Linked DNA regions of Arabidopsis thaliana. The protein of the gene in region 1 interacts with the protein of each later gene in a pairwise test. Each region holds a gene or a part of one and is shown in the gene's direction. Other genes may lie near its edges.

Evidence for each region.
Region 2: the proteins of IAA7 (region 1) and ARF18 interact in binary tests that used the Arabidopsis thaliana proteins (3 or more experiments, as listed by UniProt).
Region 3: the proteins of IAA7 (region 1) and ARF6 interact in a two-hybrid assay, tested with the Arabidopsis thaliana proteins (2 studies listed by BioGRID).
Region 4: the proteins of IAA7 (region 1) and ARF4 interact in a two-hybrid assay, tested with the Arabidopsis thaliana proteins (2 studies listed by BioGRID).

What each region holds. Positions count from the first base shown.
Region 1 is NC_003074.8:8,192,628-8,197,664, forward strand, and holds IAA7 (indole-3-acetic acid 7), read left to right. Parts: upstream 1-1,978; 5' UTR 1,979-2,140; coding exon 2,141-2,379; intron 2,380-2,936; coding exon 2,937-3,190; coding exon of another isoform or gene 3,191-3,201; exon of another isoform or gene 3,202-3,447; coding exon 3,448-3,583; coding exon of another isoform or gene 3,584-3,587; exon of another isoform or gene 3,588-3,895; coding exon 3,896-3,957; intron 3,958-4,048; coding exon 4,049-4,089; 3' UTR 4,090-4,528; downstream 4,529-5,037.
Region 2 is NC_003074.8:22,886,062-22,891,965, forward strand, and holds ARF18 (auxin response factor 18), read left to right. Parts: upstream 1-1,827; 5' UTR 1,828-2,109; coding exon 2,110-2,155; intron 2,156-2,206; exon of another isoform or gene 2,207-2,426; coding exon 2,427-2,542; intron 2,543-2,625; coding exon 2,626-2,724; intron 2,725-2,794; coding exon 2,795-2,851; intron 2,852-2,942; coding exon 2,943-3,095; intron 3,096-3,173; coding exon 3,174-3,258; intron 3,259-3,345; coding exon 3,346-3,436; intron 3,437-3,515; coding exon 3,516-3,680; intron 3,681-3,770; coding exon 3,771-3,884; intron 3,885-3,956; coding exon 3,957-4,029; intron 4,030-4,117; coding exon 4,118-4,597; intron 4,598-4,678; coding exon 4,679-4,866; intron 4,867-4,976; coding exon 4,977-5,118; 3' UTR 5,119-5,394; downstream 5,395-5,904. Other genes in the region: AT3G61826 (uncharacterized protein), read right to left, coding at 570-662; AT3G61829 (uncharacterized protein), read right to left, coding at 1,130-1,261. UniProt on the Arabidopsis thaliana protein: Auxin response factors (ARFs) are transcriptional factors that bind specifically to the DNA sequence 5'-TGTCTC-3' found in the auxin-responsive promoter elements (AuxREs). Could act as transcriptional activator or repressor.
Region 3 is NC_003070.9:10,685,306-10,692,956, reverse strand, and holds ARF6 (auxin response factor 6), read left to right. Parts: upstream 1-1,968; 5' UTR 1,969-2,920; coding exon 2,921-2,963; intron 2,964-3,049; coding exon 3,050-3,168; intron 3,169-3,253; coding exon 3,254-3,352; intron 3,353-3,445; coding exon 3,446-3,502; intron 3,503-3,586; coding exon 3,587-3,742; intron 3,743-3,826; coding exon 3,827-3,911; intron 3,912-4,000; coding exon 4,001-4,091; intron 4,092-4,174; coding exon 4,175-4,339; intron 4,340-4,420; coding exon 4,421-4,543; intron 4,544-4,623; coding exon 4,624-4,699; intron 4,700-4,791; coding exon 4,792-4,939; intron 4,940-5,020; coding exon 5,021-6,258; intron 6,259-6,339; coding exon 6,340-6,530; intron 6,531-6,615; coding exon 6,616-6,832; 3' UTR 6,833-7,135; downstream 7,136-7,651. UniProt on the Arabidopsis thaliana protein: Auxin response factors (ARFs) are transcriptional factors that bind specifically to the DNA sequence 5'-TGTCTC-3' found in the auxin-responsive promoter elements (AuxREs). Seems to act as transcriptional activator.
Region 4 is NC_003076.8:24,307,730-24,314,746, reverse strand, and holds ARF4 (auxin response factor 4), read left to right. Parts: upstream 1-1,962; 5' UTR 1,963-2,559; coding exon 2,560-2,934; intron 2,935-3,076; coding exon 3,077-3,133; intron 3,134-3,395; coding exon 3,396-3,581; intron 3,582-3,679; coding exon 3,680-3,764; intron 3,765-3,847; coding exon 3,848-3,938; intron 3,939-4,061; coding exon 4,062-4,223; intron 4,224-4,320; coding exon 4,321-4,440; intron 4,441-4,522; coding exon 4,523-4,598; intron 4,599-4,697; coding exon 4,698-4,863; intron 4,864-4,964; coding exon 4,965-5,653; intron 5,654-5,747; coding exon 5,748-5,938; intron 5,939-6,020; coding exon 6,021-6,189; 3' UTR 6,190-6,492; downstream 6,493-7,017. UniProt on the Arabidopsis thaliana protein: Auxin response factors (ARFs) are transcriptional factors that bind specifically to the DNA sequence 5'-TGTCTC-3' found in the auxin-responsive promoter elements (AuxREs). Could act as transcriptional activator or repressor.

The sequences.
Region 1 (5,037 bases):
TTTAGCAAAATAGAACTAATCATAAATATTTAAGTTTCAAAAGCCTCGATTCTTAAGAAAACTACATAATTTCACATATTTTCACTCGATTGGTTGCGCATCAAATGTATATATAAAACGGATCACAATTTTTTTTTTTGATCAAAACGGATCACAAAATTAAGTGTAAAAATACAGGAACTTTCCTCAGTCTCGTCAGCCATGATGCAATGGCCCTTGATTTCATCTGTAAAAATTACAAGTCTTTTCACATTACAAAGAAGCATTAAGTTCATTTTTTATGTTGGGAAGAAGAAAATCGATGTCAGTCTTCACTCAGTGTCCTCACTAAGAACATGTACCTAGACCAATTAATAGATTCTCTGTTTATATACCACAAATGTCTATGCTTATTAATGAGTAGTACTATTCTTTTATTTTTAATTTTTTAGTAAGACACATTTAATAACCAAGATGATACAGAGAAAACGGGAGACCGTAAACAATTAAAATAATATACGTGACTTGTATAGTTGTATTGCTTGACACAAACTAATTAGAATGTTGACCAAATTTGGTTAACGGAATTTCACCGCCCAATTCCACTTGCTTTATATGCGATGAACAGTTGACCAGAGGAGACAAAGTGTAACAAATAGGCTATTAACAAAACATAGAAGTAATTAATACATTCATAGTTTATATATAGACATGTTGTGAGAACTTATTCTTTTCTTCTTTAACAAACAATCTGAATTCGTTTCATACTATATAAGTATTATATACTACCTAGTTATATGCTAGCTTTGTATTGACTCATAGAGTCATAGTACAAATGCTAAAATACTAAAGCTACACAGAGTGGTAGAACCAGCTGAAATATGTTTAAAACTACATGACCTAACCCAACCATTACAAATTTATAAACAAACTACATCCTGAAACTCCAGAATAGACGATGTAGCTCACTATGAACTATAATGTATGTTTAATGTCAGAACCAAATAAATTTAAAAAAAATGTCAGAACCGTACGAGAAGAACAAACAAAACTTTTTGTAGTTTGTTTGTATATATTTCTAAGTAAAAATGCTGAACACAATTATACAACCAATATATGTGATCTAATGTGCTATTTAGGAAAATTTGTCGATGATAAGTACTACGTCAGAGTCAAAAGACCCATATTGGTTTAGTCCGACTATTAGATACGAAAAGTCAAGCAAACATTACATGTAAATTTTGGTAAGATGTGAGAGATATATATGTCTTTTTTTTTATTTTTTGATAACAAAGATGATGCTAAAATACTTTTAGATCCAAACACCAATTATGAGATTCGGAAAAACTAATGTTAGAATTCGAACCATGATGGCCAATATTACATGAACTCAAGTGGCAAATTTTTTCACTCTTTTACTATTGGAGCAAGATGACTTGGTTATGTAAGAGATATGTTGCTCTCAATATTCTCATAGATCATCTCTTTCTTCAAATTGGTAAGATATGAGAAATATGTCCCATCTTTTTATTATCATACCAAAGTCTTTTATAAAATATATCATATATGTATATATATATATTGTCAAGAATAACTTGACTTCATACATACTATTTGAATTCGGATAGTATCACAAAACATCACTACCACGTAACTGTTGGAACTTCAATTTTACAAAGTATTTCCGGCTAACTTTTCGGCGAGTTTTTCAGTGAAGTTTGTCACAAAAATAAGAATGATCATATTTTTGGAATCTTTGTAATCGTTTTCAAAGTTTTCTCTCCGGATTTTCGCGGTTCTACAATAATTACATTACATATCATGATCAATATGTGACCTGATCCTCGTAGTTAATTAAAACATAATTTCCCGGTCACCATTCAAAACTTTCTAGATGGAAGATTAACAAAACAAAATTATCTTAGCTTAATTTTGTAGTAACAGAGAAGAAATGATTAACTAACATCTAATCAAGCCCACGTGTCATAAACCCCACCAATGAAGAAAAAAGAGCAAAAGACATGCACATGCAATTACACGAATACATACACCCCACCACCATCCTCCCTCCTTATATTATTATTGCCCCTTCCTCTCCTTTCTTCTTCCCCTCTTACCTTTTCAGAGAGAGAAACAATATTTCTAATCTATTACAAGTAACATGATCGGCCAACTTATGAACCTCAAGGCCACGGAGCTCTGTCTCGGCCTCCCCGGCGGCGCTGAAGCAGTTGAGAGTCCTGCCAAATCGGCGGTGGGAAGCAAGAGAGGCTTCTCCGAAACCGTTGATCTCATGCTCAATCTTCAATCTAACAAAGAAGGCTCCGTTGATCTCAAAAACGTTTCTGCTGTTCCCAAGGAGAAGACTACCCTTAAAGATCCTTCTAAGCCTCCTGCTAAGTAAGCTACACATTTACATATATATATATTCTTAGATTTTTTTTTTTTTTGGTTAAAAAGTTCTTAGTTTTTTCCAGTCCATATATATACATATATACGTGTTTATACACATCTATGTCTAAGTTCTTAGAATATTCGAATATATATAAATTTCATAGTTATATGTCCTCGCAGAACATAAATATTGTGAGGGATTTACATAAACATATGAATAAACTAAAAATTCTTGAAATTTGTAATGTTAGTTATATATATATATATATATATATATATATATATATATATACTTCCCATATACATTACCTTTTTTTGTTAAAATTTATATGCATAACTTTGATTCTTTGAAGTTATATTTGTTTTCTATCAATATAATACTAAGAAATAATATAATAATAATTAAAGCGTGGTTGAAACTTAAACACCAATACATACATGCGTACAAGCAAACATGAAATAATACATGTTATAACTTACAATCAAGCCCATAAAGGCAGTAATGGTAACTAATAATTACATTGGTTGATATACACCTATCTAAATAATGTTGTTCTATGTAGAGCACAAGTGGTGGGATGGCCACCTGTGAGGAACTACAGGAAGAACATGATGACTCAGCAGAAGACCAGTAGTGGTGCGGAGGAGGCCAGCAGTGAGAAGGCCGGGAACTTTGGTGGAGGAGCAGCCGGAGCCGGCTTGGTGAAGGTCTCCATGGACGGTGCTCCATATCTGAGGAAAGTTGACCTCAAGATGTACAAAAGCTACCAGGATCTTTCTGATGCATTGGCCAAAATGTTCAGCTCCTTTACTATGGGTACGTATTAGAAATTTCAAATCGGAAAGTGTGAAAAAACTATATTCGTATATTAAAGTATATCATTTACTACATTTATTCATACAAAACTCATGAACCTTACCGAGTTAGAGTCATAGAACTATACATTCGAACCCTATACATATTAACAAGATGAGATTTTGCTAAATGTATACAACTTAAATATGTATTATATATATTACACAATAATGACACATAAATTTATATGATTTTTGAATGTCTTGAATATCTTCAAGGAAACTATGGAGCACAAGGAATGATAGATTTCATGAACGAGAGCAAGCTAATGAATCTGCTGAATAGCTCTGAGTATGTGCCAAGCTACGAGGACAAAGATGGTGACTGGATGCTCGTTGGCGATGTCCCATGGGAGTGAGTCAAATTTAATCGTTTCATATACTTTTTTTTATAACTTATAACTTGACTCGTTAACCACATTTCCCGAAATTGGTAGAGACAAAGCCAAAGATATTCAACATCCATGTGTTATAAATACGTACAACCATGCATTGGTTGGCAAGAGACAAGAGGATCTTTCAAAAATTATACAATAGTATCGATATGTTTAGAGCTCATTCGTAGCTGGCACATCATCATATTATTGCCAAAAACCTTAGAATAAACTTTAAATGTTAACGACTCATATTCTAATGTTCTAACCGTAAACTTGAATACCTATTTCAGAATGTTTGTCGAGTCTTGCAAACGTTTGCGCATTATGAAGGGATCTGAAGCAGTTGGACTTGGTACATCTCTAACTTTTTTTTTTTTTTTTTGTTTTTCAATTTTTACCAATTTTCTTTTTATTTTAATATAATTCTGTTTTCTTGGTTATAGCTCCGAGAGCAATGGAGAAGTACTGCAAGAACAGATCTTGAATTAATAATAAAAAAAAAGAAGCATCAATGATCAACAATATGACGGGTTCTTGATTTTATATGTATTTTTATGATTGTATGTGGCTATCACCTATATATGTGTGTTGTAATTTTAAATACTTGATGGGTATATAGGGCAGTATTTTACCAGTAAGATGTGGACAAACTTGTAATGTGACCAAAAGAGAGGAAACTTCAATATCTCTGTGTTTGTGTCATATTTATTGCCCAACATGTGTCTGTCGGTTTGATGATCAATCACAACTTGATATGTGCATACATATAAATGTGTGTATGTAGGTGTGTGTACATGTACATGTGTTTTGATCCCTACTCTGCTACTTGTCGTTTCTTGTGTGTGTTATCTAATAGTTTTTTCCCAAAATGAATAATTCGTTGTTATGTTTACTATTTTACCAATAAAATCTTAGCTTTTTAATTCTACTCTCTAACCATTACTAGCGTTTTTTAGTTTTAAAAACTCTGATTATGTATTGACTTTTAGATGAAGTCTTTAATGAACAATTGAACATATCCTACAACCCACAAAAAAAATAAGAAGTAGAATTTAAAGTTGGTTTGTTGTCATTTCATCATAAATTGTGTATCCTAATTTTTTGGGACATGTGGTCCGTAATCTGTCATATTTTAAACTAACTGATGATTATATGTGTAGCGGCTTTACAAGATTAATTTAGTCATCATTTCAAAAATATGTTGAAATCAATATAATTTGTTTTCATTATTAAAAAAAAAGTGAGTAAGATACAGTTACAAAAGAGGATATAAAAGTTTTAATATTCGGATGTTTGTTACTCACTTACAATTTGTTACGACTTGCGAGTTATTGATGGTTCTTACTGGTGGATGGATGATGGATCATTAGATATATATATTGTATTCATATTATAGATTAATAATCTCATATAAATTATGTAAGTCGTTGAT
Region 2 (5,904 bases), about 15 Mb from region 1:
ATCACATCTATATTTCGTCTTGTAACGCGGCCACATAATCTTCATCAACGAAGCTTGAATGTTGTAATAGTGTTTCACTATCAACAACACACATTTGTAGGCCTTATGTAATTAGCGAGAGAACTCTACAGTCTACACTATAACTTTGAGTGGAAATAAATACTCGTATATGGTAACATAAAAATACTATGAACTTATGATTATACAAACTTGTAAGTAAAAAAGAGTGGTAAGGCTATGTAATATCGTCGACGTTTTCTAGGTAAATCTTAAGCTATAAAAAAGATTTTGAAACCCAAATAGTATCGAGTGATAGCATTAGTCTCATCGGGTGGTTACAAGCCAACATTGATTCGTGTTGCAAATTTTATTAAATACAAGGGTGTACACAAATCAAAACGCAATAATATTTTTGGATCATAGTCTTTCTTCACTATCATTGGGAAAAATAAAATAAAATAAGAAAAATAGCGATAGAATTTCCTCTGTAAATGAGCAAAATTGGTAGGACAAGTCAGCATTTGACACGTGTCGGTCATGAATACGACTAAACAGCGTGGCAATTTCTCTTACTCTGACGTGTCCATGTGGGGACCACTTTCTCCTCCGACACTTCGGCATGGCTTTCTCAACTTTTTATCACTCTTCTTCACCATTCTCATTTACTAAGCGCGTGTCTCCCACCTCTATCCGATTTAATTTTTTAAATTTGACGTTTCAAAAGTTCCTTCTATAAAAGCAATTAACGATAATTATATGAAATCCGTAAACATGAATTTTTCAAATAATTTCGATTTTTGATTTGCTAAGATTAAAAGCGCGTGAAAGAAAAAAAAGAATACAGCATGAACACCAGCGACTCAGAACTGACTCGGCACGTGGTAACATAAAACTCACACGCTTCCCAAGACGCTCGTCCCATAAAGAGTCATGGCTGTGACCTTGTGCGAGTGTGGGTGTAGCCATAGCCTTTGTGGGTCCTAAATAAAAAAAACGATCAATGGCATAATGTGTAATTAACTCACATTCCACAGTGTTAAATAAAAATTAAATCTGTAACGGAAAAAACAATCTATCTGATGTTACACAAAAAAAAAAAATAACGGAAAAAAGAAAATGTGGCCGGGGTTTAATAGAGAAGCCGACACGTTTGCCTGCCACGATCCAGACACAAGACGATGTGGGTAACGGCACCGTCAAGTGCTAACGGCAACGGGGTCATCAGTAAAAAGGGCAATTTAGGGATATAGAGTAAAGTCATAAGCTTATTTATTACTATCGTCTTGATCGGACGGCTGAGATTTGCCCTCTCCTTTAAATGCACCGTACGTTTTTTTTTTACATAATAAAATGTAATTAGTTCATAAGCAATTCCCAAAACGCCGCGTGACCCTTCGTTTGCCTTTGAATACAATTTGTTTTATTTTAGCGCATTTAATATATTTGAGTTTCCTTTTTAGCGATGACATGATAAAACAAAAAACAACAATTTTAGAAAACATTTAATTAAATGAATAGAAAAATAGGGAGATTCAACTGAAGTTACTGTGGGTGGAAATGACAGGTCTCCAGGATCTGAACTAAGAGAAAGTCTCTCTATATTTTGATATATAGAGAGAGATAAAGAAGGAGAGAGTGTGAATATATGTATGTGCATGATACTGTGAGACTTCTTCAGTAAAGGAAGCAGCTTTGGTTTGCTGCGGATCGGGATAAAAACGGCGAGAAGTTTGTGATTGTTGAAGCAAAACAACACGGAATCTGAAAGGAAAGGAGAAGACAAAAAAAAAAAAAGATTTTAAGAGGAAGAGAGAGAGAGATCGGTTTCGTGGCTGACGGAAAAAAAAAGGGGAGAGATTTAGTTTTATCCAACAGTGCCTGAATTACGTTCTGCAATCAATACGGACATAACCGTCCGTTGTGTCCTGTTTATAAAGTTTTGCTTTTTTTATTTTCTCCATTGATGGGTCTTTTCTTTCTTCTCTCTCTCGTGTTTCTTTCATGGGGTTAAGACTAGTGTTTACCGCGTGAAGGTTTTTTTTTCTTTCTATTTTCTTTCATTTCCTCTCCTTCTACTTCTTCTTCTCCAGTTCTCATCTGGGTTCTTCAATGGCGAGTGTTGAAGGTGATGATGATTTCGGAAGTTCTTCGTCAAGTGAGTAGTAAAAGGCTGAGACTTTAGAAAGTTTTGTTTTTTTTTTTGTTTCTAACAGTGACTCTGTTTGGGGTTTTACTCTGTAGAATCAAAATCAGCTTTGTAAAGTTTCGATTTTTTTTTCTTTCATTTTCTCGGGAGACGAGCTTAGAAAGAAATAGAAAAAACCCCAACTTTCTTATTTTTCTCGTATAGCTTCAAAGTTCACATTTTTGTTATAGTTTTGCCGCGGAAATGTGACTGTTAGGGTTTTGTTGTTGTTTGATTTTAGGGTCTTATCAAGATCAACTATACACAGAGCTATGGAAAGTTTGTGCAGGTCCATTAGTGGAAGTTCCTCGTGCTCAAGAGAGAGTTTTCTACTTCCCTCAGGGTCACATGGAACAAGTATATACCCACCCAAAAATCATCTCTTTTTACCCCAATTTTTCTTTTTCCATTCTCTTTCTAAATTCTGGGTTTTTTTGCAGCTTGTGGCGTCAACTAATCAAGGAATCAATTCAGAAGAAATACCTGTTTTTGATCTTCCTCCAAAGATACTTTGTCGAGTTCTTGATGTCACTTTAAAGGTAAAGTTGGATCATAAATGTTAAAATGTTTTATTTCCCCTGAATCTGTTAACTAAATTTTGATTTATAGGCGGAGCATGAAACAGATGAGGTTTACGCTCAGATCACATTACAACCAGAGGAAGATGTAAGTTCTTAAAAAAAAAACTCAACTTTATTTCAGTGAGTGTTAATTTATATTGATTGGAATTGATTTCAATTTACTGTTTTGTTTGCAGCAAAGTGAACCAACAAGTCTTGATCCACCTATTGTTGGACCAACTAAGCAAGAGTTTCATTCGTTTGTTAAGATTTTAACGGCTTCAGATACAAGCACTCATGGTGGATTCTCTGTTCTTCGTAAACACGCCACTGAATGCTTGCCTTCTTTGGTAAATATATTCTTAAAGAAACCTTCTCAATTCAAGAAACTTTAGCTTGAATTCTCACTCCAATTTTACACTTTTTAGGATATGACACAAGCTACTCCTACTCAAGAACTTGTGACTAGAGATCTTCATGGCTTTGAATGGAGGTTTAAGCATATATTCAGAGGTATTGATTCTAATCTTGGTGTGTTTTTGTGAAACTGTGTTTGGACTAAATGAGACATTGACTCATTGAGTGCCGTTTTTGGTTTAGGACAACCACGGAGGCATTTGCTTACTACGGGTTGGAGTACATTTGTATCCTCGAAAAGACTTGTAGCTGGAGATGCTTTTGTGTTCTTGAGGTACTTTTGAAATTGAAACTTTATTCACTGGTCTTGTTTAGTTTCATGAACCTAAATGTAATGCCTTTGTGTTTTTCAGGGGTGAGAATGGGGATTTACGGGTTGGAGTGAGACGATTAGCTCGGCATCAAAGCACAATGCCTACTTCGGTTATTTCAAGTCAGAGCATGCATTTGGGAGTTCTTGCTACAGCTTCTCATGCTGTGCGTACAACAACAATCTTTGTTGTCTTTTACAAGCCTAGGTATATAGTAATGTTCTTTAGATGATTTTGCTTTATATACATAGATGGTTTAGGACTCTTTGATTGAAGAAAAGTTTTCTCTCTTTGCAGGATAAGCCAATTCATAGTTGGGGTGAACAAGTATATGGAAGCTATAAAGCATGGATTTTCTCTCGGTACCCGATTCAGAATGAGGTTTGAAGGAGAAGAGTCTCCTGAGAGAATGTAAGAATCCATTTTCTCTGATCATTTCTTTTTTGTCAGTGTTCTTGATTCTGAAACCTGGAACGTCTTCAGATTTACTGGTACGATTGTGGGAAGTGGAGATCTATCTTCACAATGGCCAGCTTCTAAATGGAGGTCATTGCAGGTTCAGTTAACCATTCCACGTTCTTACATTTTAGTGTTTTACTTATTACGTGGTCTTTATATAACGTTTTTGTCTTGGTCTTTCTTAGGTACAATGGGATGAGCCAACAACAGTTCAGAGACCAGATAAAGTCTCACCATGGGAGATAGAGCCTTTCTTGGCAACTTCCCCAATTTCAACTCCTGCTCAACAACCACAATCGAAATGCAAGCGGTCAAGACCCATCGAGCCATCAGTTAAAACACCAGCCCCACCTAGTTTCTTGTACAGCCTCCCTCAGAGCCAAGATTCCATTAATGCATCCCTTAAACTGTTTCAAGATCCATCACTTGAGAGAATTTCAGGTGGATACTCCTCAAACAACAGCTTCAAACCCGAGACTCCTCCTCCTCCAACGAATTGTAGCTATAGGTTGTTTGGATTTGATCTCACAAGCAATTCTCCTGCTCCAATCCCTCAAGACAAGCAACCGATGGATACTTGTGGAGCTGCCAAGTGTCAAGAACCCATCACTCCAACCTCAATGAGTGAGCAGAAGAAGCAACAAACATCAAGAAGTCGAACTAAAGTAATTTTCTTTATCAACTCATATAATAACATAGCAACAATGTTTTGAAAATCTGATTTCTTTGATCTTGGATTGAAAAAGGTGCAAATGCAAGGCATTGCGGTTGGTCGTGCGGTTGATTTAACACTGTTGAAATCTTACGATGAACTGATTGATGAGCTTGAGGAGATGTTTGAGATTCAAGGACAGCTTCTTGCCCGAGACAAATGGATCGTTGTCTTCACTGATGATGAAGGAGATATGATGCTTGCTGGTGATGATCCGTGGAAGTAAGTTCTAAAATAACAGAGTTAAACATTTCCGGTTTAGCTCAAATCAGTTAAATGTGAACTTAAACCGGAACTGATTTTGCAATGTTCTGTTGTGTGGGATTGTGCAGTGAGTTTTGCAAGATGGCAAAGAAGATATTTATATATTCGAGCGATGAGGTTAAGAAAATGACAACGAAACTGAAGATTTCTTCGTCGTTAGAGAATGAGGAATATGGTAATGAATCATTCGAAAATCGTAGTAGGGGGTGAGAGTTTTAGCTGTTAATTAAGGTTAATTCGGCGACGTCGTTTTAGTGCGTAAGTGTCTAAAGACTTTTTTTTTAGTCTGTGTATATAAAGTCTTGTCCTCTTTTTCATGTCAATTTTTCAAGTTGGCGATTTAATATTTCGGTTTTGGGACAGTGGTTGATGGGGCGGTTTTACATCTTTTATGTGTATGTACTTGTTCCATAACCATTCAATTTTCAAAACCAAGTACATTCAATTAGTTATGGGTTCAAAGATTATATTTCTAATCAATAATTAAGGCTTAAAAAAAAAAAAACTACAGTATTAGAGAAGAATACAAAATACGTGAAGGCGTGGAAATCAACGCGGCGGGCATCATATGAAAGTCATGGAAAAGTAAAGGAGTCAAACGACTAGTTAAGATTCTCTTTTGGAGTTGGTAAAAATATTTGTGGATTAATGAACTTCTAGGATATAGTGTTATTAGAAAATTGAACTGAAATCGAAAAAAATGAAAACTAAACTTTGGAAGTTCATGTTATCGTGCCAAAAATAAGTCTCCATGATGTTCTCTATAAAAATTCTTAAGTTTTAATTTCCAAACCTTTTAGCTGCATCAGATTTTTCTTTAATAAAATGCAAATGACAAAAGAAAGAAAATCTATTTTGTTTTCGGATAAAGTCACATATGAAGTGTATACTGTAGTTGATATTTGTCAAAAAAAAAAATATTGTTTTAAACTTTTAATTCAGATTTGCCTTATAATGAAGAAGAAAACAATACAATTATTTTCAAACTTAGTATTG
Region 3 (7,651 bases), on another chromosome or scaffold:
TATATTACCCGTCAATTCAACTTTGTATATATCGCCGACAGAAATATATTAATACATATTCGTATATACATACCGGCTGTTCTTAATAAAGAAAGATTTCGCTTTTGAGAATCTTGTGACCCAATTCAAAACGTATAGAGTGGTGTGATAGCTAGTTAAAAGAATTTGACCATTCACAAATTCGTTTTGGTTCATATCAAAATTGATTTCCATTGCAATACGAATACGAGAATGACAAAAGTCAATGAATGATTTTGTAAGCAGAATTGATCAAGTATGACTAAGAAGCACTATTTTGGCCGCCAGGAAACTATGTTAGGAACATCATTACAAAAATTACAAATCTACGCTTTGTTATATACATGACATATAATCGATGATGCCTTCAAAATTAGTTTCATATTGAAACATAACAAAAATTAATAGTTTAACATGATAATTGACATATGTTGATTATACTAAATAAATTATTTGTAAAATAGGGGGGAGAGAGAAATATGAAGTAACAAAAACAAAAAAGAAAAGAAATGAGAAGATGTCTCTAAAAGCGAATTTTTAATTATTTATTACTCACCTAGTCACCTTATTTGTCATTTTTAATTTTTTATGTTAAGTAATTCTGAAATCTTCCATTGTTTTCACTAAATTCACCCATAATTCTATATATCCATTTTTTAAAACATAACTTGTGAAATCTAGTGTATATAATAACTAATAACTGTTATATTTTTATATTTGTTTGTGTGGGAAAATGTTAAGTAATAACTGTTATTTTGTATAACATGTTCTCTGTATATAATAAACAAGCACTAGGGTACTAGCTATAAGCTACGTTTCTAATTTGTCGCAAATTTTTAAGGTTTTGCTTAAGAATTAGTTGCATAAACAAATGCTAGTTGGATACTTTTGATGCTGATGTTTTATGTACGTATATCACTTTCTTGCATAAAAACACATTAGCCGAATTTTCTAGCAACTGACAATAATGCAACTGAATTTAATACAAATAAATAAATAAAATCTACAAAAGATATGGCGATGGTACTGATCTATTTGTATATAATGCTGTTTCCAACGTTACCCTTGTTTACGTCAAGAAGTTGCACGTGCCTTCTTAGGGCAGTCTTGTCATTTCCCCTAGGTAAATGATCACTATCTCCATTGTTTGGAATCAAAATTCATGTTCTCTAAATTTTTTTCTTTCTTTCGGATAAAATTATCTAATTAAAATTTATTGGAATCTTAAGAAAAAACACGTATATTCTTTATTACAATATATAGCTGAAGAAATCAGATTCGCAAATTTCCAAACGAGGAAGTGTGTATTATACATATATATTACCAATTATACCCTCTTCTACATGCAATTCGAACTACTATTATATACATAAAAAAAAAAAAAATAGAATCAGGAAACCCTAAAAGCACGTCCTGTCATTTTTATCAGGTGATTTCACTGTCTATATATATTGACTTATTGCTATATTCTATATAAAATAAATTTTGCTGTAATTCGCACACTTCCATTTTCACATTACACAATCAAATAATGAGGCAAAATAAAATAGCCAATGAAAGAGTACTTATGTACTCCAAACAGAACTTTTAAACCTTGACCAGTAAACCAAAGGATTTCTACAGCAATGATATTTTTCCTAAAACAAATTGATTCATTTTATTTGCAATAGTTCACTAAAACTCTAGTATAAAAAAGCCTTTGGTCATCCACTAGCTGAAAAAAATCTACAACAACACATAATTTTTATAAAACTACTATGACAAAGAAAAAAAAAAGAGTAAGAAATACGATCATGTAATACTATAATATATGATGGTACCATAACGTATTATTATTTTTTTTTTTTTCCTTTGTACCATAACGTATTATTAAAACCATAATAGTACTCAATTTTAATTACATGGACGACGCAACGAAGTTTTGAAATTCGGGAGAAGCATAAATTAAAAAAAGGCACGAGTCCCAAACTGTAAATAAAAAGGAAATAAGGGGTAAATTAGTAAATTAAGTGTCCTTTCAGAACAACAAGTTGCTTTAGAAGAAAATCAAAGACCCGCTCCGTTCGGGTTCGGGTCAAAAAACAGCCATTGTCGTTCTTTCTTCTTCTTCTGATTCTCATTTCAAATAAGAGAGAGAGAGAGAGAAGTAAGTAAAACTTTAGCAGAGAGAAGAATAAACAAATAATTATAGCACCGTCACGTCGCCGCCGTATTTCGTTACCGGAAAAAAAAAATCATTCTTCAACATAAAAATAAAAACAGTCTCTTTCTTTCTATCTTTGTCTATCTTTGATTATTCTCTGTGTACCCATGTTCTGCAACAGTTGAGCAAGTGCATGCCCCATATCTCTCTGTTTCTCATTTCCCGATCTTTGCATTAATCATATACTTCGCCTGAGATCTCGATTAAGCCAGCTTATAGAAGAAGAAACGGCACCAGCTTCTGTCGTTTTAGTTAGCTCGAGATCTGTGTTTCTTTTTTTCTTGGCTTCTGAGCTTTTGGCGGTGGTGGGTTTTTCTGGAGAAACCCAAACGACTATCAAAGTTTTGTTTTTTACAATTTTAAGTGGGAGTTATGAGTGGGGTGGATTAAGTAAGTTACAAGTATGAAGGAGTTGAAGATTCGAAGAAGCGGTTTTGAAGTCGGCGAGACCAAGATTGCGAGCTTATTTGGCTGATGATTTATTTCAGGGAAGAAGAAATAAATCTGTTTTTTTTAGGGTTTTTAGATTTGGTTGGTGAATGGGTGGGAGGTGGAGGGAAACAGTTAAAAAAGTTATGCTTTTAGTGTCTCTTCTTCATAATTACATTTGGGCATCTTGAAATCTTTGGATCTTTGAAGAAACAAAGTTGTGTTTTTTTTTTTGTTCTTTGTTGTTTGCTTTTTAAGTTAGAATAAAAAATGAGATTATCTTCAGCTGGGTTTAATCCTCAACCTCATGAAGGTAATTCTCTCTTTTCTCTCTCTATTGCTTTGATACTTCTAGCAAATAGTGATTTTAAACTAACTTTGTGAGTTTTGGATTGAAAGTTACAGGAGAGAAAAGAGTTCTTAATTCTGAGCTCTGGCATGCTTGTGCTGGTCCTCTTGTCTCACTACCTCCTGTTGGAAGCAGAGTTGTGTATTTTCCTCAAGGTCACAGTGAACAGGTTTTTGTCTCCTTCCTTTTATGATTTGGATTCAAATCTTTCCTTTTTGGTTACAGGTTACTTGAGAATGTTTTGTGGTTTTCAGGTTGCTGCTTCGACCAACAAAGAAGTAGATGCTCATATACCAAATTATCCGAGCTTGCATCCGCAGCTTATCTGTCAGCTTCATAATGTTACAATGCATGTAAGGAACTCACTATCAGTTTTTATGACAAACTTTTCTAAGTGTCTTTTCTGTTTGTGTGTTAGTTAAGAACTTGATTCCTTACCATTTCAGGCTGATGTGGAGACTGATGAAGTCTATGCACAGATGACTTTGCAACCGTTGAATGCGGTATGAGACTTTACTATGTAATTCATAATTAATTTTGTGGAATTTGTCGGTGTTTTGAACCTTCTTTGCTTGGTTTGAATGCAGCAAGAGCAAAAAGATCCTTACCTTCCCGCGGAATTAGGTGTCCCAAGTAGACAGCCTACAAACTATTTCTGTAAAACTCTGACTGCTAGTGATACAAGCACTCACGGAGGTTTTTCTGTACCTCGCCGAGCTGCTGAGAAAGTTTTCCCTCCCTTGGTAATTCATCTTATTGTTCATATGAATTCTACTTTCAAGATTAGCTATTGCCTCCTTAACAATAAAATTTTATGTGTTCTTCAGGATTACTCGCAGCAGCCACCAGCTCAAGAGTTAATGGCGAGGGATCTGCATGATAATGAATGGAAGTTCAGGCATATTTTCCGAGGTTAGCTTTCTTCGTGAAAAATCCAAGTTCTTATTAATAGCTGAAGAACAAAGAGATTTATTTAATCTGTATTTGTTTCTGCGTTATAGGCCAACCAAAGAGACATCTCCTTACCACGGGTTGGAGCGTATTTGTGAGTGCTAAAAGGCTTGTTGCTGGTGACTCTGTTCTTTTCATCTGGTTAGAAACATCTTTCAAATTGGGGTTTTTGTTTAAGTGTTACATTCAAATCATGAAACTGACTCAAGTATTTGTAATGCTAGGAACGATAAGAATCAATTACTTCTTGGTATAAGACGAGCCAACCGACCACAAACTGTCATGCCTTCATCTGTTTTGTCAAGTGACAGTATGCATTTAGGCCTTCTTGCTGCAGCAGCTCATGCTGCCGCTACAAACAGCCGATTCACCATCTTCTATAACCCGAGGTATCGTCTTAAGTACCTTATGAATGCACTTATGTGTTGATTCTCTTCGTTTTGCATCAAACGGATTCGGTTTTTCTGCAGGGCGAGTCCATCAGAGTTTGTTATACCCCTGGCTAAGTATGTGAAAGCGGTTTATCACACTCGCGTCTCTGTTGGTATGCGGTTTAGGATGCTGTTTGAAACTGAAGAATCTAGTGTTCGTCGGTAGGTGAATTATCAGAGTTCCTATAATTTACTCTGCTTTTTGCTGCTGAATGTCCTTAAGAATCTTCGTTTGTTGTCAGGTACATGGGTACAATAACTGGCATTTGTGATCTAGATCCTACTCGTTGGGCTAATTCGCATTGGCGATCTGTCAAGGTTTAGCTCAAAACCAAACCTTTAGTAGAAAATATTCATTGGTCTTTGCATTCTCGTATACATATATCATTCATCATCTGATCAAAATGCAGGTTGGGTGGGACGAATCTACTGCAGGAGAGAGACAGCCAAGGGTTTCATTGTGGGAGATTGAGCCTTTAACAACATTCCCTATGTATCCATCTCCTTTTCCTCTCAGGCTTAAACGGCCGTGGCCTCCTGGTCTCCCATCTTTCCATGGTATTGTAAATTTCAAAACTTTAACAAATCTCTGAAAGGTTTCTATTTCTAGTCTTTTATATCTTCTAATTTTGGTTGCAGGCCTTAAAGAAGATGATATGGGTATGAGTATGAGTTCACCGCTTATGTGGGATCGAGGACTCCAATCTCTAAACTTTCAAGGTATGGGAGTAAACCCGTGGATGCAGCCGAGACTTGATACGTCGGGCTTGCTTGGTATGCAAAATGATGTGTACCAAGCAATGGCTGCAGCTGCCCTTCAAGACATGAGAGGCATTGATCCTGCAAAAGCTGCTGCTTCACTTCTTCAGTTCCAAAATTCGCCGGGGTTCTCAATGCAATCTCCGTCCTTAGTGCAGCCGCAGATGCTGCAGCAGCAACTCTCTCAGCAGCAGCAACAACTCTCTCAGCAGCAGCAGCAGCAGCAACAGCTCTCCCAACAGCAGCAGCAACAGCTCTCTCAACAGCAGCAGCAGCAGCTCTCTCAACAGCAGCAGCAACAACTCTCTCAGCAGCAGCAGCAACAGGCGTATCTTGGCGTTCCTGAAACCCACCAGCCTCAGTCTCAGGCTCAATCACAGTCAAACAATCATCTTTCTCAGCAGCAGCAGCAAGTAGTGGATAATCATAATCCGTCTGCGTCCAGTGCTGCTGTTGTTTCCGCTATGTCTCAATTTGGTTCTGCTTCTCAGCCCAACACGTCACCACTCCAGTCCATGACCTCTCTGTGTCATCAGCAAAGCTTCTCCGATACCAACGGAGGAAACAATCCTATTTCTCCACTTCACACTCTTCTCAGTAACTTCTCTCAAGACGAATCTTCTCAACTGCTCCACCTCACTAGAACAAACTCTGCAATGACTTCATCCGGTTGGCCATCAAAGCGTCCTGCAGTTGATTCATCGTTCCAGCACTCTGGAGCCGGTAATAATAACACTCAATCCGTATTGGAGCAACTGGGACAGTCCCACACAAGCAACGTTCCTCCAAACGCTGTCTCGTTGCCTCCATTTCCCGGTGGTAGAGAGTGCTCGATCGAGCAAGAAGGAAGCGCCTCAGACCCGCATAGCCATCTTCTCTTTGGAGTCAATATAGATTCATCTTCTCTTTTGATGCCGAACGGAATGTCAAACCTTAGAAGCATTGGTATTGAAGGTGGTGACTCCACGACTTTACCCTTCACATCATCTAATTTCAACAATGATTTCTCGGGTAATCTTGCAATGACAACACCTTCTAGTTGCATAGATGAATCGGGTTTTCTACAATCCTCAGAAAACCTCGGTTCCGAGAACCCACAATCTAACACCTTTGTGAAGGTAAAGTTTTATTTCTTTTCCCTACCCAAAATGTTCTTCTTGTTTGCATGCATAGCGATGATTCCGGAAATGTTTTTGTAGGTGTACAAGTCAGGGTCTTTTGGAAGATCGTTAGATATATCAAAGTTTAGCAGCTACCACGAGCTGCGAAGCGAGCTTGCTCGCATGTTTGGCCTCGAAGGCCAATTAGAAGACCCTGTGAGATCAGGCTGGCAGCTTGTATTTGTTGACCGAGAGAACGACGTTCTTCTCCTCGGCGATGACCCTTGGCCGTGAGTTTATTAACTTATCCCTCATTTCCGCATTTGGTTTTGTCCATTTCCATGTTTATTTACCTGCATTTACCATTATCGACAGGGAGTTTGTGAGCAGCGTGTGGTGCATTAAGATACTGTCACCACAAGAAGTGCAACAAATGGGAAAAAGAGGCCTTGAGCTTCTCAACTCCGCGCCATCTTCCAACAATGTCGATAAGCTCCCGAGCAACGGGAACTGTGACGACTTTGGGAACCGGTCAGACCCGAGGAATCTCGGTAACGGTATCGCATCAGTTGGGGGTTCATTCAACTACTAGAAGTAGATGGAAACCTCCCTTTTTATTCAAGTTAAGTTTCAATCTTATAAATTAGTAGTGAGATCATCTTAGTTTAATTACTAGCAAAAATCTCTCTTTATTACTTATAAAAAAGGGAGATTTGCCTTTGCCTTTGATGGAAACAAAAACTATATAATCCCTCTGTCGACTCGTAATACTGTAATTATAAGATCTTTTGGTCTTTTTCTTATATGAATATTTTTACTGAACTCTATATATGTCACTTTCCTTACTCATTTCTTCAATCAATATGATAGTGAAGGGTTATTTTGGAGTTACATTAAGACTTTGTCTGACTAAAATGGTCCACAGAGAAAGTGATTTGGGTCCCAATCTCCTTATTGGAAGTGAAAGCGTTTTGTGGTTTTGTTGTGTGAAACACCAAAATATTCCGACCCGCAATTTGGGGCTTTACCCTAAAATTAGATCTCATTTTGCGTCAGCAAAAACTTTATCTCTAGACACGTATCGATCCGTAGTTCGTAGGACATTTTTATTGGTAGGTAAATTAATATATGCCCTTATCGTTTATAGTAAGTTTTTTTTTTCACAATATCGTTTATAGTAAGTTTAGTTTTCACCAAAGAATATGAAACGAAATTTGTAGAATGAGTATGGTTTTTGTTTGCGTCTTCATGTTAAGATAATTAGAATATTATAACATGGTAAAAAAGGAAATCTAACTCCTATTAACTTGAGAAAATAAACGTCATTTCGATAATTGATCGAAATTGTTGTGAATTTGGAAAATATCTTGCAATATAACTTTTTCTTGTTCGGTTTTATCGGAATGGGATT
Region 4 (7,017 bases), on another chromosome or scaffold:
TTCTGAAGAAGAGACTCATTCTTTCTCCTTCTCCCATCCCATCATCCTTTTTGTTTTCTTCTTTTCTTATTCTTTTTTTTCTTCTCCAATGAAGTTACGAAAGGTTATTACTCATAATCAAATGTTTTTAAAAGTAGATAATTAAGTAAGTTGCGAAATTGTGAAAGGAATATACAAAACATAATATGATACTTTGATCAGGTTATATGAATTAGTAGCAAACTAATATTATATGAGCAAAAATACATGTTACTAGATTTTAACCCGCGGTACACCGCGGACACAGTTCATTTTTAAAAATTAATATATATAAAAATTTGTAAATTATTTTATAGTTTACCATTGTTACTAAGTAACGTCCTGCCAAACCCGTCCTGCCAAACCCGTCCACAAAAAAAAACTATTTATTTTATTAATGTTGATCTTATTTATAATATGTTTATGAATCATTGTCAAAATATTTTAGTCGTTGCGGGACGTTGTACCCACACATTTTTCGCCAATTGGTTAATATATGTTCATTCTTAAAATTTCGAATTACAAAATATGACGAAATTTTTTTTGAGATTTTTTTAAACTTTATATATTATATAATGATGTTAATTATTTTTGATAGATTAAACTTTTTATAAATTCAAATATTAATAATGTTTTATGAAGTTTAAATATACAAATAATAATATTTAAAAAATTAATATTTTTTGCCTTTTAGGTAAATGATATAATAACTCTAAAAGCAAAATTTAAAAGATTTAAATCTTTAAATAAATATTTTCATGCCTAAATAATTAATGTCAGTAGCATGACATTGTAAATAAGTTCAAATACATGATTTGTTTATTTAAACAAAAAATATTTAGTAAGAACAATATTTATTTAAACAAAAAATTTTGTTAATAAAATACGTTTATGCTAATTTTAAGGGATTGATGTGAAGTTTGTTTGGATTAAATTTGATTGATAATGTGATTGACAATTTAAATTAAAAATTTAAAGTAAAATTAATTATTTTGAAAAAAAGATTTAATGCTAATGGCATTGGGTTGTAAATAAGTTCAACTCTAAGATTTATTTGCTAAAATGACTGCAAAAATGTATATATAAATGTTTTCAAATTATGAAGCAATCATTTGGACCATCAAATATATTTTATTTATTTTTACTAAACCCATTTGAAGATATTTATCCAATAAGTAGTAAGTATTTGAGTAGTTTTATTTTACTGAAAGAGTCGGTGTGGTTATTGAAGTATAAATTTTATATTACAGACCGCTGAAAGTTTTTTTTAGTTGATTAGGTTTTTAAACACAGACAGTACTTTAGTTAATCAATAACAAAATGCTGATTTTCATATTGTTTGTCTCAGAAAAAGAGAGAAAAAGTGCTTTTGTTACAAAATCGAAAGGAGCCTACTCTTCTGTCTTTAGCCGGTTGGTTGGCTCTTAACAACGCAATGAAAAAGCATTTTTTCTAATAAATCGAAAACAAATAAAAATTCATAACATAAAAAAAGAAAGAACAAAGAAAGATTCCAAAGAGATACTGTTTCCTTTGTAAGAGTATGCAAAGAAAAAGCTAATCAATTTGCGGTTTTTATTCCTCACAACTCACACAAGTTAAAGAAAATTATGGTGTGAATGAGAAAAACAAAGGGTTACGTCAATTTCGTAATACCATAAATCCAATAGATGCATATAAACTTTGATGGTTCATTTTGAGTGAATAGTCTAGTATGAATAATTAAACGATTGATTCATCGATGGTTTGACGTATTTAAAAAACAGTTGATTTTGAAGAAAACAATCTAGACAATGGATTGAATTAGTCTTATTAGCACCTAATTAAACTTTTAACATTTCTTCTTTCAACAAAAAGGACGAAAATCAAAAACGGTAATAATTAGCAAAAAAGTGAAAACTTTTATTTTGTGTAAACGTGTGTATATTGACACAAATATAGTTTTTATATATAAAATTTCATGTGAATAAATAAGTCTTTATTGGGAAACAAAAACAAAAAAGAGAGAAGAAGAGGAAGAAGAAGAAGAAGGAGAAAGGGAGAGTGTAGGTGTGGGTTCTGTTCTGTCTTGGCTTTGTCTCCCCCGCTTATCTCTCCCTCTCTTTCTCTCTCTCTCTCTCTTTCCACTAAATTGTTTTTTTTTTGCTCTTTAAAAAGTATATTTTTTTCCAATCTGCAAATTTTAGTCTATGTCTGTTCCTTGTGCTCCCTCTTCTCAGTACCTGCAAATGGAGGAAGAAGAATCCTTCTCTGAAACCCTTGTTCTCATTTGATTCCTCCTTCCTCTCTCTTCTTCTCTCTCTGTCTCTGATTCGTTATTCCACACTTATGACTCATCTTTCCCGTCAATAGCTAAGTTTGCCTCTTCTTTGTGAAATTTAGCTGAAAAAGGAGAGGAATTCCGAATTCTGTCACTTCAAAGCTCGAATTTTGCAAACTTTCCTTTGATGGGTTTTACTTGTTTTGTTGTAATCTGATTAAAAATAGAAACTTTTTGTTTTCTTCTTGTCTCCTTTTGCTCTTAAAAGAGAAGCTTTTTCAATGGAATTTGACTTGAATACTGAGATTGCGGAGGTGGAAGAGGAGGAGAATGATGATGTAGGAGTAGGAGTAGGAGGAGGAACAAGAATTGACAAGGGTAGGCTTGGAATTTCACCATCTTCTTCTTCTTCATGCTCTTCCGGATCATCATCGTCATCATCTTCTACAGGCTCTGCATCTTCCATTTACTCTGAGCTTTGGCATGCTTGTGCTGGTCCTCTCACTTGTCTTCCCAAGAAAGGCAATGTAGTTGTCTATTTCCCTCAAGGTCATTTGGAGCAAGATGCTATGGTTTCATATTCGTCTCCTCTTGAAATCCCCAAATTTGACCTTAATCCCCAAATCGTCTGCAGGGTGGTTAATGTCCAGTTGCTTGTAAGTCTGTCTGTATCACTCTACCCAAATAAAGAACATTCCTTTTGTGTTCTATTTTACTATTCTTGAACAAGTTCTGTTTTCTTTCTCTAATTGTGGTAATTGTTTGCAAACTTGGTTCCTTCTTTTGGGGAAACAAAAGGCTAATAAGGACACCGATGAGGTCTACACTCAAGTCACTCTGCTTCCACTTCAAGAGGTACTCTCTTTTACTCAAACTTGTTGCTTTTTTGACAATTCAATTGATTTTTGATATCACTAGTGTAATTCCAGATTCTAGGTGTGATTTTAGATGCTACGGTTTAAAGAGATTGTGAATAATCTTGTTTGTTCTCTAAGTGACTCAAACTCATCATTGGTTTAACAGGATCAGAGGAATCACTGAAACCGTTGGTCTTGTTGAGTTTCATTTATAATCTCTGTGATGTTAAGATGCTGAAGTAACTTCTTGGTTTTTATAGTTTTCGATGCTAAATGGGGAGGGGAAAGAGGTCAAGGAGTTAGGAGGGGAGGAAGAGAGGAACGGAAGCTCATCCGTCAAGCGGACACCTCATATGTTCTGTAAAACCTTAACAGCGTCTGACACAAGCACACATGGAGGCTTCTCTGTACCTAGAAGAGCCGCTGAAGATTGTTTTGCTCCTCTTGTATAATTCTCTATATCTCATTTCCTTATTTTTTTTTTTAAGGAGAGGTTTTATCTTCTTGTTATAAGCCTTATTTGTGAATTTTCCACTGGTGTTAGGACTACAAACAACAGAGGCCATCTCAAGAGCTCATTGCAAAGGACCTCCATGGAGTAGAGTGGAAGTTTCGCCATATCTATAGAGGTGGTTTTGAGTTTGTTATTATTCGTTTCTTTTTTCTTCGTCAGTGAAACCAAAATGTTTAGTTCTGTCTCTTTTTAATATAGGTCAACCAAGGAGGCATCTACTCACCACTGGTTGGAGTATCTTTGTCAGTCAAAAGAATCTCGTCTCTGGTGATGCGGTTCTCTTTCTGAGGTAATCGTAAGATTTCAGTTTATCAAATGGTGATGTAGATTCATGGTGTTTCCCTCTGCTTTGGTGGTTTGAAGCCCTTGATCCAATAATGTTTACATTCATTACTAATATCGGCGTTTATAGAGACGAAGGAGGAGAGCTGAGATTAGGAATCAGAAGAGCAGCACGGCCAAGAAATGGACTTCCTGACTCAATCATTGAGAAGAATTCATGTTCAAACATTCTGTCTCTTGTGGCTAATGCTGTATCTACAAAAAGCATGTTTCATGTGTTCTACAGTCCACGGTGAGATAAAAATGAAAAGCTGCCATTCGTAATGATTCTTAACTAGGTTCAGTAAGAAATAAAGAACTATAATGTTGATTTGTGGATTTATATACAGAGCGACGCATGCAGAGTTTGTGATTCCTTATGAGAAGTATATCACAAGCATCAGGAGTCCTGTTTGCATAGGCACAAGATTTAGAATGCGATTTGAAATGGACGATTCTCCTGAGAGAAGGTATTGTTTCTTTCTTGCTTCTTTCTCTGTGTTGTGTAGCTAATATTGTTGGACGAGAATTTATATTCGATCTTTCTTGCAGATGCGCTGGTGTAGTGACTGGAGTCTGTGACTTGGACCCGTATAGGTGGCCAAACTCTAAATGGAGGTGCTTGTTGGTGCGTCCTCTCATCTTTTTGGAGTATCTGTCTATTAACGTGTAGAAGACTTTTCATTTTCGAAGATTGATATCTAAATCTTTCACATTTGTTTGGCAGGTGCGATGGGATGAGTCTTTTGTGAGTGATCATCAAGAAAGAGTTTCACCTTGGGAGATTGATCCCTCGGTTTCTCTCCCACACTTGAGCATTCAGTCATCTCCAAGGCCTAAAAGGCCATGGGCAGGTTTACTGGATACTACCCCACCCGGAAACCCCATAACAAGTAAATTATATAGACCTCTCTTCTCTTTGGAGTATATGCTTTTGCAAACAGTTCTCAATTTTCATCAGTATATTATTGATAACTGTTCTTGGTTGCAGCAGAAAGGGGTGGTTTTTTGGACTTTGAGGAGTCGGTTAGACCCTCTAAGGTCTTGCAAGGTCAAGAAAATATAGGTTCTGCATCACCCTCACAGGGGTTTGATGTTATGAACCGCCGGATACTGGATTTTGCGATGCAGTCTCATGCAAATCCAGTTCTTGTGTCGAGTAGAGTCAAGGATCGATTTGGTGAGTTTGTAGATGCTACTGGCGTGAACCCAGCTTGTTCAGGTGTTATGGACCTGGATAGGTTTCCAAGGGTCTTGCAAGGTCAAGAAATTTGCTCGCTTAAATCATTCCCGCAATTTGCTGGTTTCAGTCCAGCTGCTGCTCCTAATCCCTTTGCTTACCAAGCCAACAAGTCAAGTTACTATCCGCTAGCTTTGCATGGGATTAGGAGCACTCATGTTCCGTATCAGAATCCATACAATGCGGGAAACCAATCCTCGGGTCCCCCTTCACGTGCAATAAACTTTGGTGAAGAGACTAGAAAGTTTGATGCACAAAATGAAGGTGGCCTACCAAATAATGTTACAGCTGATTTGCCATTCAAGATTGATATGATGGGAAAACAGAAAGGCAGTGAGTTGAATATGAATGCTTCATCAGGATGTAAACTTTTCGGATTCTCCTTACCAGTGGAGACACCTGCATCTAAGCCGCAAAGCTCGAGCAAAAGAATCTGTACAAAGGTAAAACGTTTTCTTTATCATCTCTTTGGCTACTTTGAGTTGCAGTTTTAGATGTCTCTTCTAATCAGTTCTTGTGTTGAATTGTTATCAAAAGGTTCACAAGCAAGGAAGCCAAGTGGGGAGAGCTATTGATTTGTCGCGACTTAACGGGTATGATGATCTCCTTATGGAGCTTGAACGGCTGTTCAACATGGAAGGGCTTCTCAGGGATCCTGAAAAAGGATGGAGGATCTTATATACTGATAGTGAGAACGATATGATGGTCGTTGGCGATGATCCATGGCAGTAAGTTCTTTATACATACCTTCTAAAGGTCAATCACAACTTCTTTTCTCCTAACTTGAAATTGGCTTTCTGCTATGGATAGTGATTTCTGCAATGTGGTGTGGAAGATACACTTATACACGAAAGAGGAAGTGGAGAATGCGAATGACGATAACAAGAGTTGTTTAGAGCAAGCTGCTCTCATGATGGAAGCATCAAAGTCATCTTCTGTGAGCCAGCCTGATTCTTCTCCTACAATCACTAGGGTTTGATACCCATAAAGAAGCTTATTTCCTATGTTTTAAAGTGTGTTTTGCTCACAAAAGAACTTCAACTTTATCTTTGTCTTTGAATCCATTTATGTGTTTGTTTGTGTTTCTTCTGGTCTCCATGGATGTCTCATGTGTACCGTTTTACTCGAGAGATATGTGAGTTTATGGGATGTGTAAAGCATGCCATTGGATTTTAAGGTTTTCAAAATTACAATATATATATTAGTTTTGAAGTATTTTGCTTGATTTTGAAAATTTCATTTCTTAAGTTCTTACATATGTGGATACTCTTGTATTGTTCTTACAATTTTTTTATTTATTTTTAGATTGATATCTAATACATACTAGATATTTGATGATGATTTAATCTTTTTTAAGGAAAATAAATATTAGAGTATACTGCACGGATTAATTAAATAGAATGATGTGACATAGATTTAGCCTTTTTTTCAACTAAAAGTTAACCTTAATTTTATTATATTTTCCTTAAATTTAACATTAATTTTATTATATTTTCTATATTAGAATTAGATTTTTATCATTTTAGGAATATTTCACAATATCTGTATTTCATCATTATAAGGAATGAAATTAGAGGGAAAGCCATTGTAATGCTGTCATTTCATTTTTTACAATGTACCAAAATATGTGGGATAATGTATGTACTATTTTAGTTGAAAAATGGTGCACACAGAAATTTTCATTATGCTTTTTTGCAAATTTATTTTAAAATAGTACATGATTGATTATGATTATTACCTTTCTGTGTTTAAAATTCTGCAATTGCCCAAAATGCGTAAACGTAACCATGGCAGACTAGTATTTTCA